Linked DNA regions of Lytechinus pictus. The protein of the gene in region 1 interacts with the protein of each later gene in a biochemical or structural test. Links are inferred from orthologs where the notes say so. Each region holds a gene or a part of one and is shown on either strand. Other genes may lie near its edges. The genes, in order: early endosome antigen 1-like and ras-related protein Rab-22A-like.

Region 1 (17,473 bases):
GGAGCATCTGCCCTGTAATGAAGATAGGTATACATATTAATGAGGAGCATCTGCCCTGTAATGAAGATAGGTATACATATTAATGAGGAGCATCTGCCCTGTAATGAAGATAGGTATACATATTAATGAGGAGCATCTGCCCTGTAATGAAGATAGGTATACATATTAATGAGGAGCATCTGCCCTGTAATGAAGATAGGTATACATATTAATGAGGAGCATCTGCACTGTAATGAAGATAGTGTCGTGTTGGGATCGGTAATTATAATATAGGGAAGCGTAATAAGGAACTTTGGAGAAATTTATACAGTTCAAATTACAGAGTATTTAATCATCAATATTCAGCTACAGTTCGAAGTACATGAAGATTCAGATATCATAGGAGACGATGAATATAAAATAATTAAGAAGTTTCAGATTGAGATTGTGAAGTTAAATTAATATTCGATGGACGTCTAAGTCTTGAAGTCAGTCAGTCTCTATGGATGAGTGTGGGTGTAGTATTCTACTGTATATTTTCTATCTCCAATAATCAAGAAGTCTTATTTATATCATTAGTTTTGGGGGTGTAACGATTTAAGGTGGGAGTGATCTAAATTTGATCTGATTGGTCTACCGGTAACTGTCTATCAAACTTTCTCTGGTATAAGGGATGTGGTGATGCTCTGTGCAAGTGACTGGGGCTGGAAGTGTGAGTCATACTTCTTAGAACTTTTGTTCCTTGAAGTTAGCTGACGTCACTGAGGGTTGGTCATTTATGGTCAAGGTTTAGGAGTTAAATGGTATTGGGGGTTTGGGAATTCTTAGATGACATTGGGGGAGTTTGTAACAAGTGAAGGTTAATGACTGAAAGGATAACAGGAAGTTAAATACATACTACATAACAATAGGTATACATATTAATGAGGAAACAAATGCATACATAGATAGGATGAATGAGGAGGGCCCATGCAAAACTTGTAAAGTCGTTGTGCTAAGGCTTGGGCAATTCTCACAAGTCCATGATTCCACATATACACATGAAGAGTCTGCCAAGAAGTAAAATGCAGCAATGGGGAAATAACTCACACTATGAAATTTTCCTATTGTTCTGTAAAATATTGCCTTGACAATATTCTATGAACAATGCTATAACAATCAAACCTTTTGTTTTCATTAATCAAAACTAGATTGAAGTCTTTGAGATGATGAGAAAAACCTTTAAGATTAAACCTGACACAAGCTTGTTTACTGTTTGCCGTTTGGTTGCAGGATTTCAGTTTCAAGTCTATGAAAAGACCAGCTCAAACTATTTTCCATACTGTATTAAAAGAAACATAAATTACACAAAATTATAAAAACATGGCCATGAAGATGAAGTATCTATGTTCATTAGGGATCAACAGTACATTAAATCCTAAAACAAAGAGCATGGAAGTTACATTGATGCATCTACTGACACACATTGTCTCTGAGGACAATATTGAGATTAAATAAATAAAAAATATATTGGTAAACTTACTCTTCATTCCTTGTTTTGAGTTCACCACACTGTTTCTCTAGCTCCTTCTTTTCTGCTTCAGCTTCAAGACTCATCTGGTCCATCAAAGTTTGTATACTAACCAACTCTTTCTTTAAAACTAGGATGTCATCATCAGCAGTTCTAATGTAATATTTGTTTCGACAAAATATATTGAAAAATGATGAAGCTTGTTATCTCAAAATAATAATACTCACTCATGAAGCAAAATTCAAGCAATATACAAGATATGAGCTCTTAAAAAAATTCCAACAATTATAAAACATAAATTTATCACCATTATAAACCACCCAATAACACCATGCTGCCATTGTTATCTGGTCAGACACATACCGTATAATCAGAGGAGGAAGGATAGATTTTCATGCAAAAGCTTAATGAATCTTTCCAAGACTTATGATAAGCAAATTAATGTTTTTATGAACAGTGTGGGCCATGGTCTGTTGTATTCTCTTACTGTCACATCTATTAATATCAGTTCTAGCAACAGCATCATTTTATGTTTGGTGCTGGTGTATTAACTAAACCCAATACCAACAAACACCATTGAACTAGGCGCGTAATTATTTCATGTCTAAATATTATCATTCATAGTGTACTTCATGCTAATTTGTGATAATGATATTACCTTTGTAATGCTTGTGATTCCAATACCTTGATTTGATTTTCCCTGTCCCTCATCTCAAACTGAAAGTTATAAAATGGATTTAAAACAGTCACACACAAGAATAAAATATACAAATTCAGAAAAATCATGATGACATTCTTCTTGTTTACCTATAACTCTAATATTTCTACATAATATCAACAAGAGCATTAAAATTTCATACAGAGCTCCCAAATTTATCAGGAGCAGTTGATTATCCTGCTGTATTTTCATAGTAATAGCATAATGGCTAAGAAAATACAAAATGTTGACTTACTTGAGTGTGTTGCAAGGTTTCTTTGAGAGCTAAATGATGTCCTTTCTCTTCATCTAGCTCTGCTCGTATTGTAGCAATATCAGCTGCCTATTGACGTCAAAGGAAAATACCAGTCAGGACTTGAAACATACTATACTGTGCAACAAATTATCAAGTCTATAGAATAGAATTAATGCCAAGAACCATAAGCATTTTCAATACCAATTATTTTCTAACAATACTGGTTTACATGCTGTATTGCTTTTACATGGGTGCCTGAATGGCAGACATGCTAAAGTAAGCATAATGATGAAAATTAGCTGCTTGAGTACTCCACACAGTAGAGATAAGAACGCTTCATATGTTGCATTATCATTATCATTGTCTTAATTACTAATACTATATCCCTATAATTCAATAATATTTTACAATGGAGTTTTCATTTCATTCTAACAAGGCTATTTCTCACAAGGAATCAGTGAGTTAATTCTTTCAGTCTCATTCTAACATAATGTTAGGATAAAAAAAAGGAGACAAGTTAAATGCCTCTGGAAGTCTTGCATGCATCATGCAATTCAACATTTTAGGACTGTTGACATTATGATATTGAAATATGTAATATTTTCTATTTTTCATTTATCACTGGAATACACATCTAACAATCCGAGGTCATGAGGATCAATGCTGTGGATGCTTTGTTTCAAGGATTAAGGAAATTAATGGATATGACCATTTGCTTAAATTTTCATCTAAGTTTTTTTACATGAGATGACCTATGACCTTGATCGAATTACCAGAAATTTTACTCACATCATGGCTAAAACTCTTTATACACAATTTTAATGCGCATAGAATGAAGCTATTCCTTTGTTGAGTATCATTTGTGATATCCAATTATCATCTTGCACAAGTGTCATTTGCTTTTAAAGTGAGGACAAAATAAAAGTTCTTATCAAAGTTAATTGATCTCAAATGAACTTTGACTTTGACCAAGTAACTTAAGATTTATTAATCATGCTCATTTGATTTGGGATACATGTTAACCATTATATCAAAATGTATTACGCATCAAAGACTTGTGTTTCAAAAGTATCTGATAATTAAGTTTTTGTTTTAAGTTGATACTAGTTAACTGACTTCATATGACCTTTGACCTTGGCTTAGTGACCCGAAACTATATTCATCTATTTGCTGATAATCAATAATCATTACATGTATTTTTGTATGGATTAGGGACTTTTAATTTTTCTTAATTATCTTAAAAATTCAAAATATTTATAATATTGATACTACAACATGGTCAAAGGTAGTTTAAACCAAAATGACCTTTGACCTTAATTATGTTACCTGAAACTCATGTGACATGATCAGTGGTACTTCAATTACCCTGATGTTCAAGTTTCATGAAATAGGTCCTTATATCTAAGTTAAGATGACATATCAAAAACTTAACCTTGGCTTAGATTTGATGTTGATGATGTCATCACCAACGCCATAGCCACCACCACTGCCGCCGCCACTGCATCTCGCTTCTGCTATGCCAGCGATACATCAAATAAAACTGGGGCCGTATTCTAAAAATTGTCTGAATAAAAATATTCTTGTATCTTCAGAGTTAAAATAACATCCGAATTCCGAAAATTCTTGTATCTTTTCTTGTAACTTTCACTCAGTGTGTAGGATGTCAGTGCAATAATGATGCGTAAAGTTAGAAACAACAAATTCATATCTCTGTGCGCAAGATAACATATTGAGATAAAAGGTATTCTTAAAATTCTCTTATCTTTGCATCCTGAATAACTTCCTTGCAAAATGCAAGAAACTTTATAAGAGGTATGGGGCTATTGTGACTTAATGTTGCATGTGATATTTCTCTGTCAAAAATGATAATTTCTTGCTGCATCACACAAGAACATCAAGTTATACAAAAAGAGACATTTTGAAGACATATCAGAGACGGATTGGTAGACTTTTCAGCAATCAAAGATTGGTATTTGAGATGATGTATCTTTTTGGAGAAAATATGACTGGGATAACAGCTACATGTACTTTTTAGCACAGTAGCACACAAGCATAGCATCAGGGGCGCAAGAGAAGTTACGCCTCATGTCAACAATGCACTTTTTTCAGAAGAGATGCTTCTATTGGTTGACCTTAGCATATAAAAAAGTTCAATGATTGGTTGATGATAACATATTGGGGCATGTCAGAGATAAAATAAGGGAAGTCCTTACAGAGATAAGACAATTTTCAGAATACCAATTTGACAGAATTTTAGCGAGCTGTTATCTGGCTGAGTTAGAAAAATATTTACAAGAAAAATTATGAGGATTTTTTAGAATACCACCCCTGAATCTTTTTCACGAAGAGTGGAAATTATCATAACATAGAAGAGAGATGATATTATTCTTACCAAACTAGCAGCCTTTTGCTCCATTGCATCTTTGATGGTCTTATAATTAGCTGCTGTTTGTTTGGATTCTGCTAAATCTTGTCTTAAAAGTACAACCTCAGAAGATACTGTTTGTATAATCATGAATTAAAGCAAGTAGGAATAATGAGCCATGTGTCATTTGACAAAATAATATTTTAAGCTGATGTAATGGCTTATCATTGTATATTGTGATGTCGGAAAATTATTGCATTCAGGGACTCATTAAAATAAGAATCACATATATAAGAAACACAAATCTTGAAATAAATTTCCATGTACTCACAAACATACATAAGTAAAAATTTAATTGTGATAATTTTTTCAGAGATGATTTTATATATATGCCTATATCCTTCGAAAGGGCAAAGTCTATGAATGGGTTTATTCCGTCATAATACACGAGACGAAGGTAGAGGGCGTTAAGGTGCATTATGAACAACGAAAGAAGACAAAAATATTTGTCTTAAACACAGATGTAGAGAAATATATATATATATATATATATATATATATATATATATATGACTGGACAGTGTGTGGTACTGCATATAATAGTAAATTACAGTTGATATATCAAACAGAAAAAAAGGTCTGCACAAATTTTTCTATAAGAAATAAGATAAAATAATAAAAATTATTATTTTGATATTTTTTCTGGTCCTCTCTTTCCCTATTATTCAGTCACATATGGATTCCTTTAACTTAATAATTGTTTTTCAATGTCGAATTTATACATCTTCAAAAATTATAACAAGTAAGCTTTACAAATTTTGTGACAGCTTCAAACACAGTAAACATGTACTTACAGAGTGACCTGCTCTCCTCTGACTTTTTCAATTGCTCTTTGAACAAATCTGTATCATCCTGTCAAAATATTAATCAAATAACATGCATAATGAAAACAATTATATAAATGGTGTCACAATTAGTAATGTATGATTCATATAAAGTAGTATGTAAACGTGGTATATGTGAGTGAGTAGTTTGATACATGTATAAACACTATGTTACAGCAACATTCATATACCATTAGTGTGCTCAAAATATTAGTGTGAATTCTGTTTGCCATCTGTACGAAATGCCTACATTTTCTTGACATCAGCTTTGAATTTTTATGAAGACAAAATATCAAATTGAAGGGACAGTTGCTTTTCTTGAATGCCAGATTTTAAAGTGGGTATTATAGTCCATAATGATTGTAATGAAGTCTGCAAAGTTTGGTTATAGCTTCCTCTAACTCTCCATTGCAGTCACATTAAAACAGAAAATGAATTATTGTCAGGTGTTAAAATGATCAATTAGTATCTAGCAACAGTATACCCTAATACTTTGTATAAAATCTTTTTTGCTGAAGTAAAAGAATATAAATTCTTCCAAAATATATTTTAAAAAATCCTAGTTAGAGGTTCACCCCTGACGAAGTTGGTTTTTATACAAGAAAGAAAACAAATTTAATGTCATGTGATATAAATTCCATTAAATGCTATTTTCTCTAAAATTGCTTCACCTGTGCATTCCACATTGGACATCTTATCATATACAAGCTTCTTTAAGAAAAATATTTTCAGTCACCAGGAACCATAACAGGATTTTATGGAATTTATAATTACACGGGACATCTAATTACTTATGATGTCACAAAATCAAAGCTTTGAGAATTCATGACTCTCTTATGGTTTGGTGGATTTTGCTCATACCTTCAAATACATATATATTTTTTTCCTGCATTTAGTAAAATACACTTTTCATAAGGGTAAACTTCCTCTTTAACTGATATTTTTTTTAATCTAGGCTAAAATATTTGTGTACAATTGGCTCACTATTAACATAGGCTCTTCCCCAGACTTTAATCTGTCCACTTCCTTCTTCAACTCAGTAGCATACCATTTTTCTTCCTTCAGAGAGAAACAAAAGACAAACATGCAAAATAAACCACACATGCATATTAAATTAGTATACCAAGCTGAAAAAACCCTGTGCAAAGAAATAGAGGGGCAGCGAGAGGGAAAGAGAAAGAAAGCGAGAGAAAGTGAGAGAGAGAGTGATAGAAGCAAGGAGGGAGAAAGCCAGTGGGCTGTACTATGCTTAAGAGAAGCAACCCGGGGGGGGGGGGGCCACTTCCATTCACGAGTGGATACTATGCGCGACCATGGGGTCTCGAAAAGCACCCTAAACACGTAATTTCCATATTCTGAAAATGCACCCCTTAACAAGTATTGGCGTGTGAAACCCTACCCTTAACAAGTATTGGAAACAAAACGATACTCTTGGCAAATATTCCCTGAAATGAACCCCTAAACAAGTACAGGAATGTTTTATTGTTACGGGTCCTTCGGTCGTCGGCTTTACCTTATTTGGTTTAGTACAACCCCACCTTCTACACCTCGCGCAAATCGGACTCTAAACACGAAGTGTTGGGGCAAAAAGGACATCCTTTATAAAACATCTTAATTTTGTTTTATCATCCCCACAAATTCGACCCTAAACATGTAATTTTCTGAGCGAAATAGATACTCTTTTTTCATTATTTTTGTGTTTTTGACACCCTTATCACGTTACGTATGTAACGTGCCCTATCGTGAAAAAGACATCCTTTTTACGTGTTTTTTTGGTCGCGCATGGTATCCACTTGTCAATGTAAGTGGCCCCCCCGGGAGAAGCAATCATACAATTATGACAATGGGTAAAATAAAGTAAGCACAACTGCACAAGTACATTCCATGAGAAGAGGGAGAAATAGGGGAACAACTATAGACAGACTGAGAGTAAGGAGAGAAAGGCGAGGGGGGCAGATATAGAGATAGAAAGAGAATGAGAAACAATAAATCTTTAGATCAAGCACAAATTCAAAGCATAAAATGCAAGCTGGTATGCACTAAGGATACATTTAAGAAAATATTTGAACCATTTCTGAAGTCATGAGGTAGAAAAAAGGTCTGAATATTCTTTCTTTAATGAGGGATGGGTTTAGAAATATAAAGAAATTAGGAATTAGGAATTCTAACTCATCCTTGCAATCAAACCCCTTATGACATGACTTAATACCTGTGCTCCTTTAAACTATAAATTCTGCAATCTTCAATCTTGCTTACTTTCAAAGAGGTCCGTAATTCACTGACTTCCTGGCGTAAACTCTCAAGATCCCCATCCCTGTGTAAGAAATTAAAAAGTAAAGTGAGAAGAATCATGACGCATCTACAGGAATATAATGTACAAATTATTAAGATTAGATATAAGATTTTAAAGAAAAATAGGGCCCTCTGGAGTGGCAACTAATCTCGGTTTGAAGCAAAACATTCCCTTGACTTGAAAACTATAGATTACATTTGCATTTGTTCTCAGGATATTATCGATATATCCATACATGCACATATACAGTGCGTATAAAAAAAAAGTTTACACTTAGAAAAAATCCTGTAAAATTATATATTTGTAATATCCTGAAAATTTTTCCACATTTAAAGATTGGTACAGATCCATTTAAGCAAATGACGATATAACTGTCGAAAAATATTTCCGCTTGAGTGAGCACCACTGACTTTTGAAAAGTTAGTGAAAAATGATTTGCGCAGAACTTTGAAATAGTTATGCGAATAACAGTAGACCTTAATCATGAAGAACACATGGAATTTAGCAAGTAAAATTGATTTGAAGATATCTTTTACTTTTTTAAAACTTGTTTCCTTGCCCAAAACACTTCGAAGAGTGCATTGCGCCCCACCCCACTCACCCACACACCGAGGCCATCATGATGATATTTGCTTTACACTGAGCTGTGATTTACATGAAATGGCTTAGGCTTGATTTTCATTTTGTAAATCATTGTCAAGCTTGGGAAAAGTGTGGAGAAACAAGTATTAAATAAAAATGAAATGTAAACCCACTTTAAATGATTATTAAAATGAAAAAATGCTGGAGATGTCTGATATAAACTTTTGTTCAGATTCAGTTATGTCCTCAGATCCAGCTGGCAGAAAAAGGGTAAAGGTTGTGCTTACTAAGTGTTGAAATTTCAATTTGGGTGGCAAAATTGTTACAAAATGCTTGAATGTATCCGTTTTATTTCAATTACTAAAAAAGCAAGGGAAATGTATGAGAAATGTTTCGCAGGGTAAGTTTGACATTCGCCCTTTCCTTTCGACACAGCGTGAAAACGAGCATTTCTGCGCAATCAGATTTCTGCGAGCTTTACAAAAATGGACAGTGCTCACTCAAGTGTAACATTCTGTCAAAACTTTTACTTTCATTGGATAGATGAGACCCAAACCCAACATTATATGTGAAAAAATTTCCCTCATGTGGTATATTTTTTAATTCCCAGGGCATTTTCAAAGTGTAAACTTTTTTTTGATACACACTGTATAAAGATCTACATCCACTAAGACTTGGCTAATTACCACTGTCCCGAACCAGGAGGGGCCACTTCCATGACGAGTGGATACTATGCGCGACCACGGCGTCTTGAAAAGCACCCTAAACACGTATTTTCCATATTCTAAAAATGCACCCCTTAACAAGTATTGGAAACAAAACGATACTCTTGGCAAGTATTCCCTGAAATGAACCCCTAAACAAGTACAGCGATATTTTATTGTTATGTCACGGGTCCGTCGGTCGTCGGTTTTACCTATAGTTACACACCATTATTTTGGTTTAGTACGGCCCCACCTTCCACACCTCGCGCAAATCGAACTCTAAACACGTAGTGTTGGGGCAAAAAGGACATCCTTTATAAAACATTTTGATTTTGTTTTATCATCCCCACATATTTGACCCTAAACACGTATATTTTTCCGAGCGAAATAGATACCGTTTTTCAATATGTTTGTGTTGTTTACACCCTAATCACGTTACGTACGTAATGTGCCCTATCTTGAAAAAGACATCCTTTTTACGTGTTTTTTTGGTCGTGCATGGTATCCACTCGTCAATGTAAGTGGCCCCCCGGGGGTCCCGAACCAGCTCTTTCGGCAAACAAATAATAAAATAAATGATGGCATGTAACTATAAGCTTACCGTTCCTAGAGATCCAATAGATATCCAATGCAGGCCCACATCACATTATCATTGATGGTTGTAGTAGACAAAGGCAATATTATATGAGATTAAAACATGACCAAAAAAATATTAATCTGTTATAACAGTATATGTTTTCTTCATCAAATACAATTGCAATTCTATTACTTTAAATTAACAAAATTTGAACTATAGATTTGTTTTTAATCTAATAACAAAAACAGAAAAAGAGTATATGGATGGCTTAGTATTGTATGGTACAGATAACAGAACATCTTTTTATCTAGGATTATACGTGATTAACAATAAATGATATTACACAATAATAACTTAACATACAGGTATTTTTTTTAAATAGTAATTGAATTTTATAACAGTGACAAAATACAAAAATAAGACACAATATAGATGTAGCTATCTCACATTGGCTTGGACAGAATTTGGGCGTGCAGCATTGGTGTTTCCTGCTGGTGATGCTACTACTTCAGGTTCCATGGCCATTGCTCCATCCCCAGAGATAGTATCATGAACTGATTCCCAGTGTGACCTGAGCTGTTCAGCAGAGGACAGTGCAACCATACAGGTTGGGCAGATGAATCCCTGTTGACCACAATATCAATACCATACTGAAGTATAGGAAATCAACCCCGAGGGGCCACTTCCATTGACGAGTGGATACCATGCGCGACCATGGGGTCTCGAAAAGCACCCTAAACACGTATTTTCCATATTCTGAAAATGCACCCCTTAACAAGTATTGGCGTCTGAAACCCTACCCTTAACAAGTATTGGAAACAAAACAACACTCTTGGCAAGTATTCCCTGAAATGAACCCCTAAACAAATACAGCGATATTTGTTATGTCACGGGTCCGTCGGTTTTACCTTTACACACCATTTGGTGCACGGCCCCACCTTCCACACCTCGCGCAAATCGGACTCTTAACACGTAGTGTTGGGGCAAAGAGGACATCCTTTATAAAACATTTTAATTTTGTTTCATCATCCCCACAAATTTGACCCTAATCACGTAACTTTCCTAGCGAAATAGATACCCTTTTTCCATTATTTTTGTGTTTTTGACACCCTTATCACGTTACGTACGTAACGTGCCCAATCTTGAATAAGACATCATTTTTACATGTTTTTTTGGTCGCGCATGGTATCCACTCGTCAATGTAAGTGCCCCCCCCCCCCCCGGGAAATCAACATCAAAATTTTAAATGACTGGAACAGTTGCAAAGCCACACATAACCCCCCTGGGGATGTCCCAGTAAGCAGTGGATAATCTAAACTGTATCTCACTCAGCCACACACAGAAAACACCACGTTCAGATTACCCCTGCTTACCGTGACATAACTAGGGATCTGTCTGTGGGTGAAGGATTGTATAAACTTCTCTGTGATCAAGCCAATCACATGTCTCTTAAGGACATGTGTAATAAACTGAAAAATGGTTGTTTAATCCCATCTCATTTTTATTGGTCTTTCTTTTGCCATTTTGTGACTTTGGATTCTGAAACCAATTGACATGAGGGGCTATATATCCGCCCTGTGATTAAACCAATCTCTTAATTATTGACATATGCTTCATAAAGATTATTGAAGCTAGCCTGTGTAAAAATAATTAATTTTTTTGACTGAGTGGAATTTGTGCAGTGCCCTTGAAAACTTTGATCAGTTTCTTTTGGAACCCAGTTTAGTTCACTTTCTACCTGTTCAAATTGCTTTCTCTCTGAAAGCAAATCAGATAATGTTCATTTAAAGACTTCCATATGTCCCCCTCCACTAAACCCTCTCTTTTGTTCACTTTTACTTTCTGTCTGTTTTTCTACTTCCGGTTGGATTCGAACCTCTGGATCGGTCTCCGATATATCTCTAGTTCGTCAGTTACCTCACTACGCTTGCAGTAATTGCTGAAAGCCTATGGTTAATTCACAGTTATCATAAGCCAATGTTACGACTTGTCTAGTCTCCAAGACTATAAAGTTATAGTTGCTTTTTTTTCTGACGAAATAAATACATGCAACTGGGAATTGCACACACTCGATAATTTGACATGCATGCATCCAACTTTTCTTTGCTAAATCTCTTAGATATTTGTCAGATATGACTTTATAAACCTTTTCCATAGAGAAAGGGATGTATGGAAGTCTTGCCATCAATTCATTGGCAAATACTATGGTAAGAGTTAAGCTGCTTATATTTGAAAGAAATATCATAAGGGTATTTGTACACCAACTTACCGATGCTTCTTGTTCTTCATAGCCAGAAGACCTACTGGGACTGTCAGGGGTAGCAGCCTAGAAAGAATTTCAAAGAGAATCCATGTAAGCTCTTAAATATATTACAAATCACCACCAGCAGGTAAAATATTTTTCTTACATTTAGCACGCTATTTGTATCATTTCATAAACTATTATAGAGAGAAAATATTGACAGTGTACATCAACCCTGATTTGTATTGAGATTTTATTCAAATTATGCTGTTTATTTTGTCTGTTTTCCACTGAGGTCCACTTTGAGTGAATTAGGAAAACTGGCACTCCAATGCAATGTAGAAAGTTAACACTGTTATACAACAGGCTATTAACAAAGTTAAAAAGGCTAAATCCAATAAATATTAGCAAATTTTTCTTTATTTTAACCCTAACTACATGTAGGCCGGGCTTTTTTGGCTGTTGTGTTCCGGGGGGGGGGGTCGAGATCTCGGCCGCCGATAGCGCGAGCGCCACAAAAATTTGCACGCTGGTAGTGTGCGATGTAATCTACAAGGCTGTATGGTAAAATTTTCCAAAATAATGAGATTTTATTTTTTATGAATTAATTATGCTAATTTATGCATAAATCATACTTTTTGCTCTAATTCAATAAATAAAGCTCCTAGAATGCTAATTTTTGGTAAAAATATTCTTTGTAGCATTCTTAACAATCGCAATTGAAAAAAACTTCGGTTTGGAAATCAATTTCTTATGTATTTTATTGTTTTATGAATTTCTTATGTATTTCGTTGTTTTTCAACCTTTTGTTTTTCTTTGTTTTTTTCACCAGATTTATTGCACAACCTTTTTGAAGCATAATTATGCTAAAATCAATTGATTTCAGCTGTTTAAAGTAAAAATAATCATATCTTTATGAATAAGATGAGAAAACTCAATTTGCATTGACTTTGTACACAAAATCACGTTTTGGAACAATTTTTGGTCTGACCAAGAAGATTCTATGACTGGAGTTCCAACAGGCAACAAATTTATTCAAGCAGCTGTTCATTTCTAAAGAAGCACAAAAAGAAAGAACGGCAATAAGGACCTTTTTGATGTCCGCCTTCGAAGCCGCCAGTTTCAATGAAGAAATCCGAGGGGTGAAATTTTACGAATATTTATTTGTATCAATTTTTCATGTTTCATATTAATAAACAAACTGAAATTTGAAAGCATGACAAAACATCAATAACCAAGCACTATTACGACGAGATATTTGCCCATATTATATCAATTAACCTTTAATTAGTGAAAAAAGAAAGAATTTGACCTTTATACTGAAACCGATCGTTTGCGGCGAATGAAAATTTCAAATGTGGTCGGTGGAATATTGTTATTCATTACTGTATATGCCAGATGAGTGCCCGCACATGCCCAGTCGAGCAAATTTGAGTCATATTTCAGGACATATTGCATAGTTTATTTTCGCATGCCTCCGAATTATGTACTACACATATAACCAGACCAAGATGCGGCGAAAAAGTAATTATCATCACAAAAGCATAATTTCCCTTTATGTATGACCTATAGCTGCGGAGTCATGCGGGAATCATTTGTCTACACAATTGCAAGAGATGTTGAGCAAAGTGCATGCCTGACATACTTTCTGCTGGCGGTTTTTAACCTTGTTCAAAGAGATTTTATTTGCTGTTACTCCATCTCATTTGAAACCTCCTTGGTCAGACATGCACTTACAAAATGTTGCGTAATTTCGGAAACGCGTATCCGGGCGTCGTAAATTTGGTCTCAAAAGATGCGCGAGACTTAAAAGTATAAACTCTGCGAGTGGCGCGGTCAAAAAATTTCGCGAGGCGGAATGATCGCAGAAAATGTTGAGGGGGGGAGTTGATTTAACCCCCCCGGCCTGTTTAGGGTTAAGTGTTTTAGTTTTTGACAATTTTGATTTTAAGAGAATCATCTTAAAATTATGGCAACTAGACTCTTCTGCTTTTTAGTTTATGTTTTAACTTGTAATTCATATTTCTCGGATCGTACATACCAGGGGGGGGGGGCACTCAGTATATATGCATGGCGGCCGGGTATGTGCCGTGGAGAGGACCCATTACGTCTTACCCCCGTTTGGGAACGGACCGCAGTTCGGATTGCAAACTGCGGTATTTCACCCCATTTTGCGTTTGAAAATCTAAAACATCATTTCCAAGCCCTGGGGGTCATTTCATAAAGCTGTTCGTAAGTTAAGAGCGACTTTAAAAACGACTGGTGATCATCGCCAATTGTACCATTTACCGCAAGACATGATCACCAGTCGCTCTTAACTTACGAACAGCTTTATGAAACACCCGCCTGATCAACCCCGCTTGGCCAGGTAATCCCCACAGGCCAGATTATGAGCGTTGAGCCAAGGACGAAATGATAACAACAGCTGTGCTATTACGTAAGTCTTCTCTGCCTGTAGAAGGACCTTCGGAATTAAATTATTGTATTCGATATTTAATCACGTTTTCAAAGGCATATTGTATTCAGAAATTCAATGCTAGCCCATTTTCAATTTCGAACAAAGAAAATCAACCTCGAAATAAGGAAAGTAAGTGAATAAAAAATGGCGACATGTTTTCCCGGACCGCACTCGGGCTGTTGTGTTATCTTCGGACCGAGGTCAAGAAACAGGTGTTTTGATACTTACATTGCATGCCTGGGGCAGTAGGGTTTTCGTACTTGGAGAAGAGGGGTATAGTGTTATCAAACGGAGCTCTTTCGTCATGTCCATTTTTACACTCTAATTTCTGTTCCAAAGCATAACATTTTTATCTTTTTGAGAAAAAGAACAAAGAAAGCTGTTCCAAAGCATAGCATTTTCTTCTTATATCAAGAAAAAAGAAGAAAGAAATCCGTTCCAAAGCTTTGCATATTTTTTTTTACGCTCTTCCGGCCGCATTGCGTCAATATCCGCTACAATAATCTGCCTTTTTGGTGAAAAGCAGCCCGCACAGCACTGTCTGACCATTGCCTCTGCGCAAGCGCCGTTCCATAGGGTTGCATATGCACTCACACTCAGGCGAATCGTTCCAAATCCAAGGACCCCCATTTTTACAAAAATTTGTAGTTCCGAAGACCCTCCTTTTTACAATAAGCCCATTCCAAACCCCTGTTTTTTGTCTCGCCCACGGCACATACCTACCACTTTTGTGGTTGATACCCTTGGCAAGTATTCCCTAAATTGAACCCCTAAACAAGTAAATCTAGATCTACAGCAATATTTTAATTGATATATGTCATGGACATTGGTTTTACCTTTACCATGTTTACCTACATGTACATCATTGGGTTTAATACTGCCCCACCTCCAACACCTCGCGCAAATAGGACTCTAAAATTGTAGTGTTGACTGTTGGGGCAAAAAGTACATCCTGCAACATTTTTTATACTCTCGCAAATTTGACCCTTAACACGTAGCTTTCCAAGCGAAATAGATACCCTTTTTTCATTACTTTTGTGTTTTTGACACCCTTATTACGTTACGTACATAACAAAGACATCCTTCTTACATGTTTTTTGGTCACACATGGTATCCACTCATCAGTGTAAGTGGCCCCTGTTAAAACCGATAATGTCGCAGCGATGCAATTGCGACATTATAATAATAATAATATAGGGCATTTATATTGCGCACATATCCACCTTGTTAGGTGCTCAAGGTGCTCCTATATTACCCGGCTAAGCTAGGCGTTCATAGCGCACACAGCTTTTTAAGGAATTACTTCCTACCGGTACCCATTTACCTCACCTGGGTTGAGTACGGCACATTGTGGATCAGTTTCTTGCCGAAGGAAATTACGCCATGGCTGGGATTCGAACCCACGACCCTCTGTTTCAAAGTCCGAAGACTAATCTACTGGGCCACAACGCTCCACATTATGCATTGACTGTGACATTATGCGTTGGATGCTTTTGGCATAATGTCACAGTAAACACATAATGTTGTAGCTTAAATAACTAATGCATAACATTGCAAGTCTTAACGCATAATGTCGCATCAGTATTTTATTCAGGAATCGAGTTGCAGATAAGATTTGTCTTCACTCAGTAATTTGTTCAAGCTCTGTAATCTGACCGTTTTTTTTTTAAGTGTGTTTAGAGGGGCAGGCGCGAATGCAGGAGGGCAGTATTGTATTCATTATGATGAAGAGTGGTCACTTTTTTTTAATTTAATATTTTATCGCTGTTCATGACATTTTAAGAAATAAATCATATTTCATATTGTAACTCGGAATGTACCATATGAATAATAATTTCAAAGCGATAGGTCCTATACCAGTTTCCCCTGGGGGAAAGGGGAGCACGTGATAAATTAATAACATGTTGGTACGTAGCGGGAGGGGGCAGAATTAATGCCCCCCCCTCGAAAAAGTAAACCTTCCTTTCTTACAGAAGAGTTTCACAAAATTCACTAAAATGTGCATGAAATCATTAAAATATCAGTTCTTAAGATTTGTTTTTCACATCCCCTCCTCACAGAAAAAAAAATCTGTGTATACTATTTAAAAAAAAATAAAGAACTGGGCATTACAATGTTTTACATAATGAGAGCCCCCAAGCAGTGGTGGCACCAGGATTTTGAAACTGGTGGGTGGCAAAGGAAAAGGGGGGGGATAAATTTATTTTGCATGTTTCACAAAATGGAGTGTTAAGCGCAAGCTTTGTGACTAGGGCGCTGGATCCAACTTTTGGGCCCCTGTTGGAGTCCAGGCGCAGAGCACGCATACATGTGTTTCTAATACAGAATATAAAGCAGAATTTTGCCAAAAGGGGGTGGGGCGCAGAACGTTTTCATCCATGTTTCCCCAATCGGCCGCTAAAAGCCATTTTTGCTGTTGGTTTATAAAGGGAGTAGTCCCAACAAACAAGAGAGGCTAACTCACACTGCCTGAATATATAATGAGAGCACGAAGCGGAGCTCAACTTTTTTGAGATTTGATGCATTTAGACTAAAGCAATAAACATTCTGAGTAGTTTTTGGCAGTATAAGAAATATGCGAGCGTGAATCGCGCACTAATTTTCTTAAAGGGATGATCCGGGCTGAAAATATTTATATCTTAATACATAGAGTAGAATTCACTGAGCAAAATGTAGAAAATTTCATCAAAATCGGATAACAAATAATAAAGTTATTGAAGTTTAAAGTATATAGCAATATTTTGTGAAAACAGTCGTCATGAATATTCATTAGGTGGGCTGATGATGTCACATCTCCACTTTCCGTTTTCTTATGTTAATACATAAAATCATAATTTTTTCATTATTTCATACTTGTGTGAATAAATGTCTCCCTTATAATGAAATAAGTTGCAGCAATAAATATCTAATGCACTAAATCAGCTGT
Region 2 (17,179 bases), on another chromosome or scaffold:
AGCTGTTGGCATATCACTGTGAAACAATTTTACAGTAAGTGTAAAAGAATGTATGCAAGACCTCCCATTTTAAACAAAATAAAATACTGTATTTAATTGATGTTTTTCAATGATTTTTTTTTTTTGCAGCTTTCCTTTTAACCAGGCCAATTGTCTTAACTTTCATAATTTCCCTGTACCTAATAATATGTTTTGTGCTGAAGATACAGAAAATTTCATTAATATATATTTCTATATTTACAAGTGAATCCATATTATTATTCATGTGCACAAATACCGTATTCGGATGCTGCACATGCCATGCATTATTGTACGTTTGTATTTCATACATGTATATATTTTGAAATAAAGCATGGATGAAAATATATACTCCAAAGTTTTTCTGCAAATTCTACAGATGAGGAAAAAAAACTATGAATTTTACAAATTTATCTGCACCCTTCTTTTTTTTTGGGGGGAGGGGGTAGTACATATGTAAAATTCCATTTACATTATTGGAGCCAAAAGTGAATGAATACTAGCAATTTTGTGACATCTTCAGCTCCCCTGTCAGTATCCTATTAATAGTGGCACTACCAAGATTGTTACAATTGATATGATCAACCATGTTGTCATGTCTCAGTATGTGACCAATCCATTTTCTTTGCCCGTCTTTAATTGTGTTCAGAGGGTTTAGTTCACGTTTCTCCTATCATAACTAGCACCTCTTCATTTGACAGTCTCTCTGACCAGTTGATTTTAAGCATGCATCGCAATATCCACATTTTGAATGCTTCTAATCTCTTACAATCCTCTTTTCACACAGAGTCCATAGAGAGTGGAACAGTCACACCAAGGAAACTGACTCTAAATCAACTAATACATTAGTCACATCTCCCCTACGGCGGCCGTACGGCGAGTCACAAACAGCAATTTTTACATATTTTGTACAAGCTATATATAGGTGGTTTGAATAAAAATGAAACCCGCTGTTATCGACTCGCCGTACATTCACCATAAGGGAAATGTGACTGAGGTATAAGGGTATGTGATTGGATTTGGTTGGTCTCAACTCAGTGTGAATGTGGTACAAGACGATAGGTAGGATAGAAGGCAGAAGGATTTAACAAGGGAAGGAAGTGCTCAATTGCTCTCTGAAAGTAACAGAGGTTTTCAGTTACTTGTGAATGTGGTTCATAGCATCATGGCTTTACAGCAAAAATTATAGATACAGTGGAAGGACTAACGAAAATTCACAAATTACAGTGTAGTTCAAAGCCTGGAGACACTTGTATGTAAAAAGCACACAGACTTGCCATAAAAGGGGAAACAGAATGTCAATCTCGGCCAGAGGCATGGGGGGGGGGCTCATTTGACCACCCCTCTCAATCGGTACCTGACTAGATATATTCAGAATATTTCCAATCAGCAGTACATGATCTACCGCAATAATAAAAACAATGAAATATACAAGACTCTCGTCTTGACTGCTTGACCAGTTAGTTGGATTGTTCATGGAAACTTTTTTTTTGGCATTTCTTTTTATCTTTTTCTCAATCATATTTCCTCAGGTAAATTACAAATAAAAGAAATGGTGTATAAAGTAGGTCGGCTGTTCCGAGTCACAAGGACACTGTGACCTAGGAATTGGTCCAACCTGAGGCTGACACTGTCAAAATTTAGTTGAAATATGGCCTCAGCTTTGTCCCCGACTTTTAAGTTGGTGACTCTTTGTTCAATGGTTTCTACTGTAAATTAGTTAATGAAGTAAAACAAGTTTGATTATTTATCTAATTATGACAACCATACAAATTCCAAACTGTTGGTAAAGGTTTTGGGAAGTCCTTTTTAAACTTAAATTTCTATGAACTAGGATGCAAGTGCTAAAGGACCAGGGGACCTGAGAATAACTTAGAGCCACTTACATGTAACCCACAGTGAAAAAAAAAAAAATAAAATAAAGGATTTTCTACAGCCTGAACACCAGGATAATACCAGAATACTTTTTAGTAAAAAATATTGTTCTTAACTACCTGAGAGATTGCTAAAGGCTTGCCTAATAGAAATACAGCAACATTCATTAATAAACTAAGAAATAGTTCCTTATACGGCATGCAGGAAAGAATATGAATTTTCAGTATTTGGAAAACAGGCCAATTCAGAATTTTGCTTGGAAAATGGCATCTAGAAATCGCCATTAAGCCAATGCAATATCTTTTTTAATGTTATTATTACTTTCACTTTAAAATATCAAAGAACACGATTATGAGCCAACAATAGACTATTAAAACATATCAATGATAATGGACAGATAATCGTGAATAATGATGACAAATATTTATATTTGCAGTTCCATCAAAGCATACACACTATCATGTGACAATTTTAGTCATGATCGATTATTAATAGAAAGTTGATTCACCTTCTCTCCTCATCAGGATTATGTGTACAGTCATAAAACCAGTATTGTTAAAAAAGTAGGGAAGAATTTTCCTATTATCTTCATATCTTGGTATATTTGCGAAGCACTCTTAATAATTGCTACAAAAATTGTCTTATTGTTTTTTAGGTGTGGGGGCATCTTGGTCTAGTGATTATGACTTGTCTTTCAATCTGAGGGACGTGGGGGGGGGGGCAGTCAAATGTATTGCTGTACACACGCGTGGCCAAAATATTTTTTAAACACCCCCTAAATGAGTTTTTCTCTGTGTGCAAAATAACCCCCTAACAAGTTTTTTGCGTGCTTTATTTACACATTTTGCCCCCTAAACAAGTTGTCGCCAGAATATGACTCCGGGAAAAAAGCTTGGGGAAAAAATACCCTTTAATAACATGTTTGGCTAGTCTTACTCTTAAAAAAAAAGCTTTGGAAAAAAAATACCCTAAATACATTTGACCCTGCGATTGACCATTGACCAGTCTTTTAAAACTACCCCTTTTTTTTTAATCAGTGTTTTTGATACCCTTAACGAGTGCACGCGCGGCCCGCGTCCAAAACTGAAAAATCACCCCTTTAAACACGTTTTTTGCTCACACGTGTGTACAGCAATATATTTGACTGCCCCCCCCCCCCCCGGGATTTGATTCCCAGCCATGGCATGTTTTCCTTCAGCAAGAAATTTACCCATATGGTGCTGCACTCAACCCTGGTGAGGTGAATAAGTTCCCAGTAGGAAGAAATCTCTTGAATGCCAGAGCGCCTGAAGGCAGCACGGCTATAGCCGGGGCAATAATAATAAAAACATTTTTTGTAATGCGCAGTTGAGTATATAATATAGAAATTGTGCAATAGTAAAATATTTTATGTACTTTGTTGAAATATTCCCCCCCCCCAAAAAAAAGTTTTCTTCATGAAAATATGTATTTTTTTTAATTCTCATAGATGTGTTCATTCTGATATGATTCAATAAATGGTATGAAACTAAATGTAAAGTGTATTCACTACCTTCAACCCTGTATGATATGCTAATAATACACTTTATTTCTTGTGGGTTTTTTACTAGAGTACTGGTTTACACTTTGCAATCTATGATACGTCTCAATTTCAGTCAACCAATCATCCTGAGTTACAAATACACATTTTTCCCACTTATCTCCATCTTCGGTTGTAATTCAAATCCTGTGTACGCCTCCAGTCTATAGCGACATAATATAGACCCAATACTGCAGCATGCATGCTTGACAATAATCCAGTAATCATCACAGTGTAATACAGTTGCATAGCTTTCACTTGAGATGGTATCGTAACCAAGCAAGCTTCCTTTAGACTGTACTTTCTACTCCATATTTCAAGAGCCACAGCGGCCTATTTCAGGAAACAATGAATGACTCATTACTACTGCAACGACAAACTACCTACAGTTAAGAGCAACATTGGACAGAGTCATCAGGCAAGCTTCCTTGCCGGGTGACAGACAGAAATAAAACTTTGGCAGGAATGCAAAATGTAGGCCAGATCACTCAACAAAGAAAACAGATAAATAGCCTGTATACATTGCAGAGCTACTGCATTTGTTTCACTGCCAATGATCAAGAATAAATTTTTTTTTATAGTAATTTCATTTAGGCTGACTACTAATGTGCAAAGCACTGTCTACATCTACATTATCTTCAGAGACGCACAATACCGTTTATAAGAGAAAAATAAAAACAAAGGATAATAATAGATTATAAAAATGGCATGATACATGTAGCATAGAGGGGTCCTCCAGCCTGAAAATAATCACATCGAAAAAATAATTAAATTTTAAATTTCTGCAATATTTTGGGAAAACAGTTATGCTTTCATGAATACACAATAGGTGGGATGGTGATGTTACTCTTTCCTTTTCAACTGAAATCATATTTTCATGCAGGTGTGTAAAACTTGTCTCCTTTGTAATGAAATCAGTTTCACTAATGATTATTTTACATAGTGAAAAATAGTCAATCCTGCTTTTATATTCTTGAGAGACATAATGTAAAAAAATAATATAAAATTGAGGAAATGATATCATTCGTTAACTCATTGCATATTCATGAGGACATGCATAGAACTGCTTCACTGAAATAAAAAACACTTTATTCTCATAACTTTGTGAATCCTTGTCCAATTATGATGTCATTGGTTTCATTGGTTTGATTACTAGATTTGCCTGTTTTTTTTGTTAAAATCACTTGATTTTTAGCCTTGAAGGAACCTTAATTAGTCTTTTCTTTCATCTTATACAATTTATAAGTTGCCTTGACTACTGATTTGGAATTGACTAGAACTGTATTAGAGTGTGATGAACATGCTACTACCACAGTGCCACACTATACAAATAAAAATATGATATACGTCTTGCAAGATCCTGCTGCCATCTTGATTAATGTCAACAGACGCACCCATGTATTTCCTTAAAATTTCTAATTGAACTGAATACAAAACAAATACCATCATTCAATGCGATGACAATAATAATAGTAGATTATTTTTATTTCCTCATTCAGTGGTTGTTTTTGTGTTATTTATCATACCCAATAACAAAGTTCAGCAAAATTTTCTCTACAGAGTCAATGGAAAATTGAGCAATAAGGTTTTTTTTTTTACCTGGCTGCACATATGAGATCACGAGTTTGGACAACTTTGGACAGAAATCTGTTATATTTGAAAGTTGATGTGTACAACAAACTATTATTGTTGTGGGGGTGATTTGTCTCATCAGTCTGAACACTAAATATGTGGCTGCAATTTTTCACAATTCACATGCCCAGTTCAATTAAGTACTATGCTTCACCCCCCCCCCTCCAACTCGCATACAGACATGGGTCTTAAAGGCAAAAGAAAGGAAAAGAAAATGATTAAATATGAATATCATGTCAAAGCCTATAACAAATTTACAGTTTGTATTAAAAAGGTGGAATTTTTTTACGAGTGCACTAGTGCTACCATGCACCGAGCAAGGCCAGGCTTCTGGTAGTGCACTTTTGCACCTGGCAATGTTAAATGTTAGTAAACTAATTTCACCTCAATTTTTGTCTGAATTAATTCCCAAGTATCGATTATCATCAAACACATCGAGCATCAGGAACAGCTTCATTAATAAAGTTTAATTTGGCTTAAATTTTGATGTCAACATTCGAATTCTCAGTCAGAAGCCTTCACTTGGCTCCACAGTATACTAGTTTTGATATGGGCTTAAGTTATTTGACTATTGTCCTGCACGCCCGTTCACATAATTTTGTGTCACTTACTTCAATCCATATCGAAATTACAGCAAAACTGCAAAGGCAAAGTCTGACTGAGAATATGAAAGACAACATCAAAATCAAATCCAAAATCAAGATGTTCCCGATGCTTGATGTGGTGCACTTTGCTTTGAAGAATTAAAGAAGGTGGAGTAGATGAACTTACTTGACTTGTGATATCATAGACCACTATTGCTGCTGCAGCCCCTCTGTAATACATGGGTGCTAAACCTCGATACTGCAGGGGCAAAATAAAAATAATAGTTGTGATAAAAGAAAAACACTTCAGTTCAGTAACCCCCCCCCCTTCCTCCCTCTCAATTAAGCATTCAAAGGTTAATGTACACCACAGCTACAGTTTGCTATTCCCTAATAACACTTAGCCAACTTTCAACATTTTCTAATAAATACTATATCCAAACAAACAAAAAAATACCCCTGAGAATTGCCACACTCAGAATCATAAAATAAGCAGAGAGAGACTCTCTCATCCATTGTCAGTGATATGTACTGTATACGTGTATACAAGCAACATTTTATTATTATTATTATTATCATTATCATTATTGATAAATGATGCATATTTGTAAAGCTTGGATATCATTCTCTTCACTTTGATGTGACTTAAAGGAGATTGAAATCCCTTGAAACCAGTTGAATTCAGATAAAGAGAAAATCTAAGAAACAGATCAATGAAAATTGAAACTTTGAATGTAGAAGAAAGTTATGAATATTTAAATTAAATAATGAGATGCAAACAAAATCTGTGATGTCACACATACAACTTCTCCATTACTTTATTGAGTTTTTATTCCATATTTTACTTAATTTTTTGGTCTTACATCTAGTCAGACATTCTTTTTTTATGAGATGACATAAAATAGATGTTTCACAACATTATACCATGAACAAATTGTATTGTATGTTGTATCATTGACATGAACAAAAACAAAAAAGATTATGGGTATATTTTCAGTGTCCAAATGGCATTGCCAATAGAAGGATCTCCATAGCAATTGTGATTTCAACGTTCGAATGATCATACATGTATGTAACCTTATACTGCTTGTCTAATTTTACTCAAGAATTTGTTGATATTCCTGTCTGACTTTTTCTGCTAAACATATGAAAAGGAATTGCCAAAAAACGTGATCTGAATTTCTAAGTAAACATCCCATTTCCAAGAGTTAATTTATTACCTTTTAACATGAAAAGATTTTACTGCATAACTGCCTGCCATAATAACAAACAAAGAGTTGCAATCATAATTTTCTCTCGCTCAGTCACCACTCAACAGTTATTAAAGTCAATTTTTGTTTAAACTTCATGAATATTTGACTACTGCATGCAACCAGGGGAAAACAAAAATTATTTTAAATTATATAAATTAAACATTACCAAACAAACATTACTGTGCTAAAATTCCTTGTGTGTTTTCCTGTTTTAAATGTGATATGAAAAGACAAAAGGACTTTACCTTTTCTTGACCTGCGGTATCCCATATTTGAAATTTGTACATTTTTTCATCAACTGCTAACGTCTTTGACATAAATGAGGCACTGTAGGAGAACAATAAAATATGTAAGTCTCATTTCTAACAATAGAAAAATTGTGTGACATTCGCTCACAATTTATTGAAATTTCATATTGAATAATAAAAAAAGTACATGTAGCAACTCTAAAAGCAATGAGAAAATGTCTGGCACTATTATTATGAACTTGAACAAGAATGTAATGATTGGAATTTCAAGCTCATGTCTTTACCAGTCATTTCTTTTTTTTTATTGTATCTAGAATATTAAGTTCTTTTTTAATTTACAGAGACACCTTCCTTTTATGGATGAATGAAAATCTAGTTGGCACACATCATTTGTTGCTACGCAATATGCATAGCAAGTCATTAGTAATTTAGTAGGCTATTAGTATCAACCACAATGGTCTATATTTTTTATATAAACTTATACTTTTTGTGCATAAAGCATCTAACACAGAATGAATACTGGGAAACCAGTCAATTTAAAGATAAAGGTCATTAGAATGGGGGGGGGGGGGTACAGTAAAAAAGAATAAAGCATGTTCAAATGTACAATGCAAACAAGTAGAAATAAGATCAAGAGAACAAGGTGGTAACAGGGGGAACAAGAAAATGTAACATGGAAAACAAACAAGATGGGGGAAGAGGAGCAGGGGAAAGAGGAAAAGGATGATGAGGATAAGGACATGATGGATGGATAAGAAATACAAGGCAAAAGCGATTTTGTGTCTCGCCCACTTATGAAAATAACCAGAAATATCGTGATTTGCGAGGGCACGCAACAGAATTGTATCGAAACTTCATTGTGAAATGACTGGGATGGAATAACACTTGTCTTAAGAGCCTTGCACGTAAACTTTAATGTTGACCTGAAAATGACCTTTGACCTTACCATGTGACCTCCAACGGCAGCATAACATGCAGGTCCCCCAAGCCATCTACCATCCAAGTTTGGTTGAAAAGTGACTTACGGTTGCGGAGTTAGGTGTCATAAGAGTCTTGCATGTAAACTTTAACATTGACCTGAAAATGACCTTTGACCTTACCATGTGACCTCCGACTGCAGCATAACATGCAGGTCCCCCAAGTTCATCTACCATCCAAGTTTGGTTGAAAAGTGACTTACGGTTGCGGAGTTAGGTGTCATAAGAGAGTCTTGCATGTAAACTTTACTGTTGACCTGAAAATGACCTTTGACCTTACCATGTGACCTGAAAATAACCTTTGACCTCTGACTGCAGCATAACATGCAGGTCCCCCAAGTCCATCTACCATCCAAGTTTGGTTGAAAAGCGACTTACGGTTGTGGAGTTAGGTGTCATTAGGTTTGTGACGGACGGACGACGGACGGACAACATTTGGATCCCTAAGTCTCGCCTTCATCGAGACAAAAAGGAGAAAATGATGAATTGAGAGGAAAAAGATGAAATTCAGGAAAGTAAAAGGGATGAGAATGATATTAAGGGGTAAATGATGAAAATTATTGGAGTGGTAAAGGAAGAAAAAGAGGGATGATAAGGAGAACAAGATGGATGAGGATAAAGAGATAATGGGAAAGAAGGAAGAAACAATAGAAGGTTGAAAAGTTGTTTTTTACTCACCCTATCGTCGGAGGGATGGATTCATAATATGTATCACTCACAAATCTTTGAACTATACTTGATTTACCAACTCCAGAGTCCTAGACACAAAAATGAAAAAAAAAAAAATTCCAATAATGAATGCATTATTAAGGACATTGGCAAATACAGAGGGGACTTGGAGCATAAAACAGTTCCACAACCAAGAAGGAAAAGGAAAAAAAGGAGAAAAAGAAATATATAAACAAAAACGAAAAGGGTCACTTGAGTTTCTTAATATCATTAATTTATATATAAACTATGAAAATTTTGGTTCGGTCTCTTTACTCGCACACAACTTTAAAGATATATGCCCCCTTACAATTTTTTTGGCTCATTACACCTCAGATACTGAGATCATAATGATTCAAAGAAAAGGCTGTTAATCTATATTTTAGAGATATGCCAGGCTGGGAGAAAGTAGGAATTTAAATGGAAAGTTGGCCTGACCATTACTACTTCCGAGGGGCAAAACCCCAGAGGAAACTTTGGTACACAATGTGCGGAGTGTATTTCAGCATTGAGGTTGGCCCTCCATCCTCCCCACCCCCTTCACCTTTTTTTCTCTCTTTTGAAGAGTAAACTTGGTAAAATCACACGTTGCCAGGGAGAAAACTGGAAGCAGTGCCTCAAACCTCAGGATACTACATATATACTGCATCTCAAGTACAAGAACACATTAGGAAGCCCCTTAATTGCTTTAATGAGTCAACCACGCTTAATTGCCAAGATTTGTTTTACCCCTGCTGTATGATATGTGCACACATGAGTGGATATAAAATCTACAGTGAGTGAATTGTAAATGCATGCAGTACAGGGTCTGGGACTGAGACATGACTGCAGATTTGTCACGTGACAGAGGAATGTTGAAACAGCTCCTACATAAAATTCCTCACAAGAGCCATGTGAGCAGTTTGCTTTATAAAGAGTATGAATATAAAATACAGATACATGTAGTCTGATAGATACTGATAATTACAATATACATGAACAGTGTAGCAAGAAAGTTTGAAGAACATAAAAATCTTGCCAGAGGCATGACAGACATAGCAACTGTAAATATGATAGAAGTATTGGAAGTTCACTCATTTATCACAAAAACTGTTAAAAGTTTAAACAGGGAAAATATTCTCACATGCAAAGAAATAGAATGCAGAGAATTAAAAATATTTCAATGTGATGATGAAAAGCTATACATGTAGGCACAAATAATCATGACAAATAAAAAAAAATTCAATGTATCATATCATGATTTTGTCTAACCGCCCTTTCACATGGTAATTTTTTTTTAATTTGAATGATGATTCAAGTGGAAAATAAGGCTAATGACAAATTTTTAGCACGTGTGAAACCAAACTAGAACATGATGATTAGAATCATGAACGCTAATCACAATCAAGAATTCAAATACTATTTTGGAGGTGAATTCCAGTTAAGTTTCACTAAAATTACGGTACAAATTTTGTGAGTGATAGGCTTGACCTCTAAAACATCTTTTGGAGGGGCGGAGCTTACGTGACCTTTTATGCACTTCCATAGATAATACAATTTATGCACTCATCGTAGTTTGTATTTGCGATTCAGTGCTTTGATTGACAAGTCACCAAGAACACATACAGCCTTTGCTCGGGAATTCGAATTCAAATCAAAGTTTTCGAGTGAGCGTGTGAAAGGTTCGATGATTCCAAAGACGAATTGCAATCATCATTATTGAAAGAAAAAAAAATTGCAATCATCATTACAATGATAATTCAAGATTCACGTGTGAAAAGGCCCTATTAATGGTATGGTAGTTTAGAAGCTAGATAATTACATTATGAAAGCACATCTTCATGGTTCATGAAGCCCAGGAAGTCATGTCTCCACATCTATGCCAGTGAGTTCCTTCTCACAAGTCACATCTCTTACAAGTATAGGGGAGGTGATAGCCGAATTACATGTATTGCATGTTTACACCTACATGCACATGCAACAGGCAGGGGGGAGGGGTAATAATAACATTATCATGTTAAGCAAAGGCCCTCGCGAGGCCAGTTTCCAGAACTGAAGTGGCTACCCTGTGTTGTTGTTGTTGTTACTGTTTATCATTATTATTATTATCATTATTATCATTATCATTATCATTATTATTATTATTATTGTTATTGTTATTATTATTATAATTATTATTATTATTATTATTATTATTATCATCATTATTATCATCATTATTGTTATTATTATCATTATTGTTTTTGTTGTTGTTATCATCATCATCATCATCACCAGGTCATCAGTACTATCAACATCACCATCATCATCATCAGCATCATCATTACTACTATCATTATTGTTGCTGTCGTTTCAATCCCCATCCCCCCTTGTGATATTTCAGATAATGAAAGAAAATTTGAAAAAATAACAGGCAAAAAATATAGTAAAGTTTACTAAGAAGTGTGCTCAAAGGCTGATAGTTGATCATGCATGTCAAATGTTTACATGTAGGGTGTTGCACCATCCATTGACCATTAGAGTGGCAAACTCCTTAACATGTCTTTCTGAATAGTATCAAAGAAGAGGACAATTTCTGCTGGGATAAATAAAGAGGACATATCAGACCTAATTTATTATCATCTTCATTGCTAAAATACAGGGAGAATTCTTTTCCAGAGACCAGATGATGAGCTTTAAGAACTGGAGTGAACTGCAATAGATTAACTTGGAATCCAGTTTGCACTTATTGCTTTGTCTGACAAGCCTCAGACAATCTGTCAGGCTTTCAAGGAAATCTTTTGTCTCAAAGAAAATATCTACACAATAATTTTGAAAGTGGACATGTCAACAGCATATTGACCAGAAATCCTGCATCATACCAGGGACGTGAGAGGGGTCCCTGATCATACAAGCTGCCCTGTATCTTATTTTGCTGTGTCCGACATGGTTCCATGCCATACAGGTATGCTCCTCGACAATTGCACAGTCTACTGAAAATGCACACATTACAGTAAGCCAAATATAAACTTGAGCTTCAAACCTGACCTTACCTAACCTTAATCCTTATCCATGCATGATTCTGAACCAAATACCTTATAACAACTCTAACCTCACCTTACAATCTTCAGAGAAATTTTCAGAGGAGCAACTGTTGTATGAGCACAACTCATGTTACATTTTCACCCACTCCACTATACACCTTTTCCCTTCAATTGTCTTAAAAATTTGAAACAATGAACATCATTTGAGGCAGACTTTGACTAACTATATGCATTTAGAACAAATTAGATGGAAAATGGAAAATATCAAGAAGATATCCCTCAGCAAAACAAAATGTATCCATGTGTGCTGCACTCGACCCAGGTGAAGTATGTGTCTTCAATAAGGATTTCTGAATTCCTTGAATTAACAAAACCAGAACAAAACACTACCAGGTGATCAAGCCAAAACAAGATTAAAAATAGGCTACTATGAATTTCACAAGAACCACCAAACTTCAGGAGCTACCCTTACATTTTAATACATCTCTCCCAGTCCCAGATTTACTTTGTCGCAACGTTGATGTACTTGAATTGGCCCACTAGTAGTGACATAGTCTGCAGGCACTTTGATCAACAAGTGGATCTCCACACTTAAGACTAGCACATATAAAACTTGCAGAGTGAGAGCGCCTTCAGTAACCAAAGCATTATAGGCTGCACATTCAGACCTTTAACTTGAGAATGGTTTGCATAGCAGACTACATACTATAGTAGTGACATTTACAGGTTGTTTATTATGGATTACCCCATGTCTTCAATTTCAAAATCTAGTCATCTTGGTTATCCACCTATTAGGAAGGAAAGAACCCTTGGCTGGAATACACCTTTACATGTGTATTAATCAATCATTCATTCAATAGACTTTCAGTTGCCTGTTTGCCCTTTTTTGTATTGGTGTACACTTTATTTATTGGTATGTCATTTTAGGGGACTAGCCTTGATAGGCCTTCGGCCTTTGCTGGTCCCCTGCATCCGGTACACGTATCTTGTGCTTTTCATTTGTTGTAATTGTTATCTCTAAATCTGTATTTTGCTTTTTTATCCCTTGCCTCTTTATAATATTTCTAAATATTGTTTTATCATGTTAAATGTATGATTTCATCTTGGATGCAAATAAAAGGCCATATGGGTCAAATAATCAAACATGTGTACTTGCCAAATGCCTTGTAGATCTCTATGAGAAATGTGTTCTTGATGAGGGCCTAATTATTTTGTTGTTGTTGTTGTACATCATTAATCACATGTGTCATCATCATCATCATCATCATCATCATCAACATAATAATCGTCATCGTCATCATTATAATAATTGTTATCTTCACCATCTTCATCGTCATCATTCATACACAGTATCCCCAGCAGTGACACATACTGTTCTCCCAGAGGGCCCTGTTTTCCACATATATGATCAAGGGCGTAGGCTGGGGGTGCACTAGGTGCATGTGCACTCTCCCGCTGAGGCAGAGGAGTGCTGACACTGGCAAGCAAAACAAAATTTGTACCCCTTCTTCTGCTTAAAATAGCTGATTTGCCAAAGTTTAGTTCCGCCTCCCTTGGATGTGAACCTCCCCATGCTCAAACCAGAATACGCCCTTGACAATTCTGATATTAAAGGAGAATGAAACCCTTGAAACCAGCTGAATCCATATCAAAGAGAAAAATCAAAGAAACATATTGTTGAAAGTTTGAGGAAGATTGAATGAATAATAAGAAAGTTATGAGCATTTGAATATTGAGATCACTAATGCCATGTAGATCTTCCCATTGGCAATGCGACCAAGATCTGTGATGTCACACACGTACAACTCCCTCATTACTTTAGTACTTATTTCACTTATATTCTCACTTTTATAGTCTATCACAAGGTGAGGTGTTCTCTTTATATGAGAGGACAAGTACAGAGGTTTCACAACATTATATCATTGATGAATCGTTTGTCATATGATTAGAATGAGCAAAAAGAGATGTTTTGGGGTATATTTTCAGTGTCCAAAAGGGGAGAGTTGTTCATCTGTGACATCATAGATCTTGGTCGCATTGCCAATGGGAGGATCTCCATAGCATTAGTGATCTCGACATTCAAATGCTCATAACTCTTCTATTGCTAGTCCTATTTTACTCAAACTTTTGTTGATCTTATTCTTTGATTTTTCTGCTTTCACAAAAGCTAACTTGCTCCAAGAGTTTCATTCTCCTTTAATACACAGATTCTACCTACTGCAGAACATGCAGAAGCTGGAACTTCCACAAATATTGATCAAAATACTCAGAAAACAATTCTGTTCAATAGTGCTACAAATAAGCTCAAAATAAATCTCAACTACAAACAAAGACTATTCAGATTGATGGGTCATATCAATGCTGTTCAAAAATAGACCATCAGAGATATTAGATAGGGAACATTCTAACGCCTTCACCACAAATGCAGCTACAAGTAAGGTCGATTCTTTTTGGATCAAAGAGAAAAAATGACAAACTCTCATGCTTCCCTTGTGAGCCTAGAGTTGACGTTTTGCGTCACATTTCATTACCAGTCTATTATGACGTCCCTAACTAATTGCTCCTTTTTATGGAAAATCTGTGACTCATCTCGCCCACTCCTGGCTGCGTTCCTTTGGCCATCCTGCCATCTGAAGACGCAGTCCAAACTAAACTTGTCATCGAACTTGTCACTGACGTCAAATGGAATGCTCTTTCTGCTCATTCATTGAGTAAATTAACCCCCTGATTTATCCCCCTGGCCACCCCCACAAGAAGAAAAATCTAATTGAATTTCTAGTCCTTGATTAGTTAACCTACAAGTTCTTTGTGCAACACAGGGCTTGGCAAAACAAAGAGAATGGCTACACTTCTGGACCAACTTAACTGATTCAGTATTGAGAAAGTGTCACATTGAATACTCTACCCACAAAGTTGTACGTCAGTGGATGATAAAGAGGATTTGTAGCTAATTTATAAGTTGTCTGGACCTATTAATAGTTTTGTTGAGAAGGGGCCAGAATGCCAGATGGCTATCATGTGAGACACAACAAAAGGGGCTGTCATACCCTAACATTTCAGCTAGTGTACAGTTTGCTAATGTACATGTATGTATGGCAAGTCATTTCTTTTTATTTTACCTTTTTTCTTGACCCCAAGAATTGCTATTGTTAAATATACATGTACAAATAATTTTCTTGACGTCAAGAATTCCATTACTTGATAAATTAAGTGATATAAATAAAATGATATTAAGAAATGGGAAGAAGTGTTAAAATGGTTTACCACACCCAAAATGCATTGATAGAAGTTGGCTGAGCTTTCAAGGTGTGACGGCCACTAAAGATATAAGTACCGTTTAAACTAGGTAATCAAATGTCATTGAGAGTACATAATTGTCATGTACTTGAATAAATTCTCTCGATGATCAAGCATTTATACTGTTGTGTAGGCCTAGACTCCTTCATGTATGCACAATGTGCATTCTATTTTACATCACCCATTCCCAAATACATGTTATTAAATATGTACACATACATGTAGTACACATACACGTAGTACAATGTTATGATAAATAAAGTAATGAACAAAGCGACCAAATAATGAAAGCTACAATAAGTACATCCATACTATTGGTGATATTTTTAACTGAAAGTCTGAAACCATGACATTTTAGGTTTATTCTGTGAAAAACTGCAGACGGGCACACATGAATGCTGTATATTTATCTACAAAATTCATTCATGTAGATGTAATCTATTTTGACAGTGTCATTACAGTACCTACATGTATTTGACATTTGATTTGGTTGGACTGAAGAGCGTCAGGAGTACCACCTTTCAATTTTCTTAGAACACAGGATATTGATTTGTCCAACGATCAGTGATGGCCTGACAAATATGGGGATTTACCTTGCCAATATAAAGTTTTCCTGTACTCAAGTTGAGTTTACACAATTCTTTTTCCTCCTAGAACCAGTTTTCTTAGACATTTATAGCCCTTATTCTGGAGTCTGTTGTAATTTAGGCCATGGTCTAATAGGAAGCCAAAAATTTCAATATTGTACTACTACTTGTACATATATACGTGCATTATGATTCCTATCTTTACCTGGCTCTTTCCTCACCATTAACAATAAATAGAACTCTTTCAGTAATTATTCGCAGTCAGTTATGAATGATCATTTGAGCGTCAAATCACAAATTAAGATCAGAGTTTGAACTAGACCCAAGTTCAGAGTATGGACCATTAAATCATTTTTAGTTGGTCATGAAAACAAACCTCTTTTCTAAGGATAAACATGGAATACTTTAACAAAAGGTGAATATTTCAACCCAATTCTAAAACCATGTTCATTGAAAGTCATTTATTGATCAGCTATTGAATTCCCTCAATGCCTCTCTCATTGGCCTTGGGGCTTTTTTTAAATTTAGTGCCCCTTCTTGTTTTTCAAAATTCTTCTATAATATTAAAATTGCCCTATAGAAAATCGGTCTTACCCTAAAAGTATGATAAAGAATTGTAGCTCTAGTACAATTGTAGCCCTAGTTCCCTAGTACTGTAGTTATTGGCTATTGGTTCAGAGTTTGAGACAATTCTTTATTCTGTGTACATTTAACAGTTGAATTTCACACATGTGCTTCTCAGATCAAATTATGCAGACAAATGAGAATGTCTTGTAACAAATGAGAATCAGCTTTGTTGAAAAATCACCCACCTAGAATAAGGGTGTTTTAAGCTTCCATTTTTATTTAAGAATCACGTTTAGCATTCCAGCTTAATACTGAAATCGCTTGAACGCACCCTCAGATTGTATTCTTGCCTGTGACAGCAACCTGTTGCTGTCTGCCACATCGTTCTGACCACCAAAACCAATATCATTCTCACACTGATCTAGCCATCCGTCTCTCCTCACACCTTTGTCCTGTCAATAATTATTCTCGTTTGATGATCCTCTAATTGAATCTCATCCATGATACTCTTTCCTTTCAAGTTCTGTATTAGATTTCATTAAACTGAGCATGACACAAATGTAATTGCCTACATTATTATACTCCCACACAAGGAACTTTAAAAAGTAGCTTCACCGAAAGTCACACAAAAGTGCTTTTTTTATCCTTTCCCCAACTTCAATTTTATATTTGTGGCTTTAATGGTGGATAAATGTAGAGCTGGCTGAAGTTTTATTTGAGAATCTTGACATAGAATATTTCCTCCAAACTATATGATTTCCCAAAGTGGTTTGTGAACCCCACACCTAAGGTTTTACCAGTTACCCATATTGGACCAAATAAAAATTGTAAGTGATTATTTTTCATTATTTATTGATAGCATTTATGTTCAAA

The links.
Region 2: the proteins of early endosome antigen 1-like (region 1) and ras-related protein Rab-22A-like form a complex in vitro, tested with the Homo sapiens proteins (2 studies listed by BioGRID). The link is inferred for Lytechinus pictus from reciprocal best matches to the Homo sapiens genes EEA1 and RAB31.

Annotation. Positions count from the first base shown.
Region 1 is NC_087247.1:72,229,522-72,246,994, reverse strand, and holds the start of early endosome antigen 1-like, read right to left. Parts: upstream 8,059-17,473; 5' UTR 8,044-8,058; coding exon 7,948-8,043; intron 6,751-7,947; coding exon 6,676-6,750; intron 5,720-6,675; coding exon 5,662-5,719; intron 4,942-5,661; coding exon 4,835-4,941; intron 2,530-4,834; coding exon 2,443-2,529; intron 2,207-2,442; coding exon 2,148-2,206; intron 1,643-2,147; coding exon 1,502-1,642; intron 1-1,501. UniProt on the Homo sapiens protein: Binds phospholipid vesicles containing phosphatidylinositol 3-phosphate and participates in endosomal trafficking.
Region 2 is NC_087246.1:66,112,781-66,129,959, forward strand, and holds the start of ras-related protein Rab-22A-like, read right to left. Parts: upstream 8,899-17,179; 5' UTR 8,824-8,898; intron 7,248-8,823; 5' UTR 7,238-7,247; coding exon 7,166-7,237; intron 5,927-7,165; coding exon 5,855-5,926; intron 1-5,854. UniProt on the Homo sapiens protein: The small GTPases Rab are key regulators of intracellular membrane trafficking, from the formation of transport vesicles to their fusion with membranes.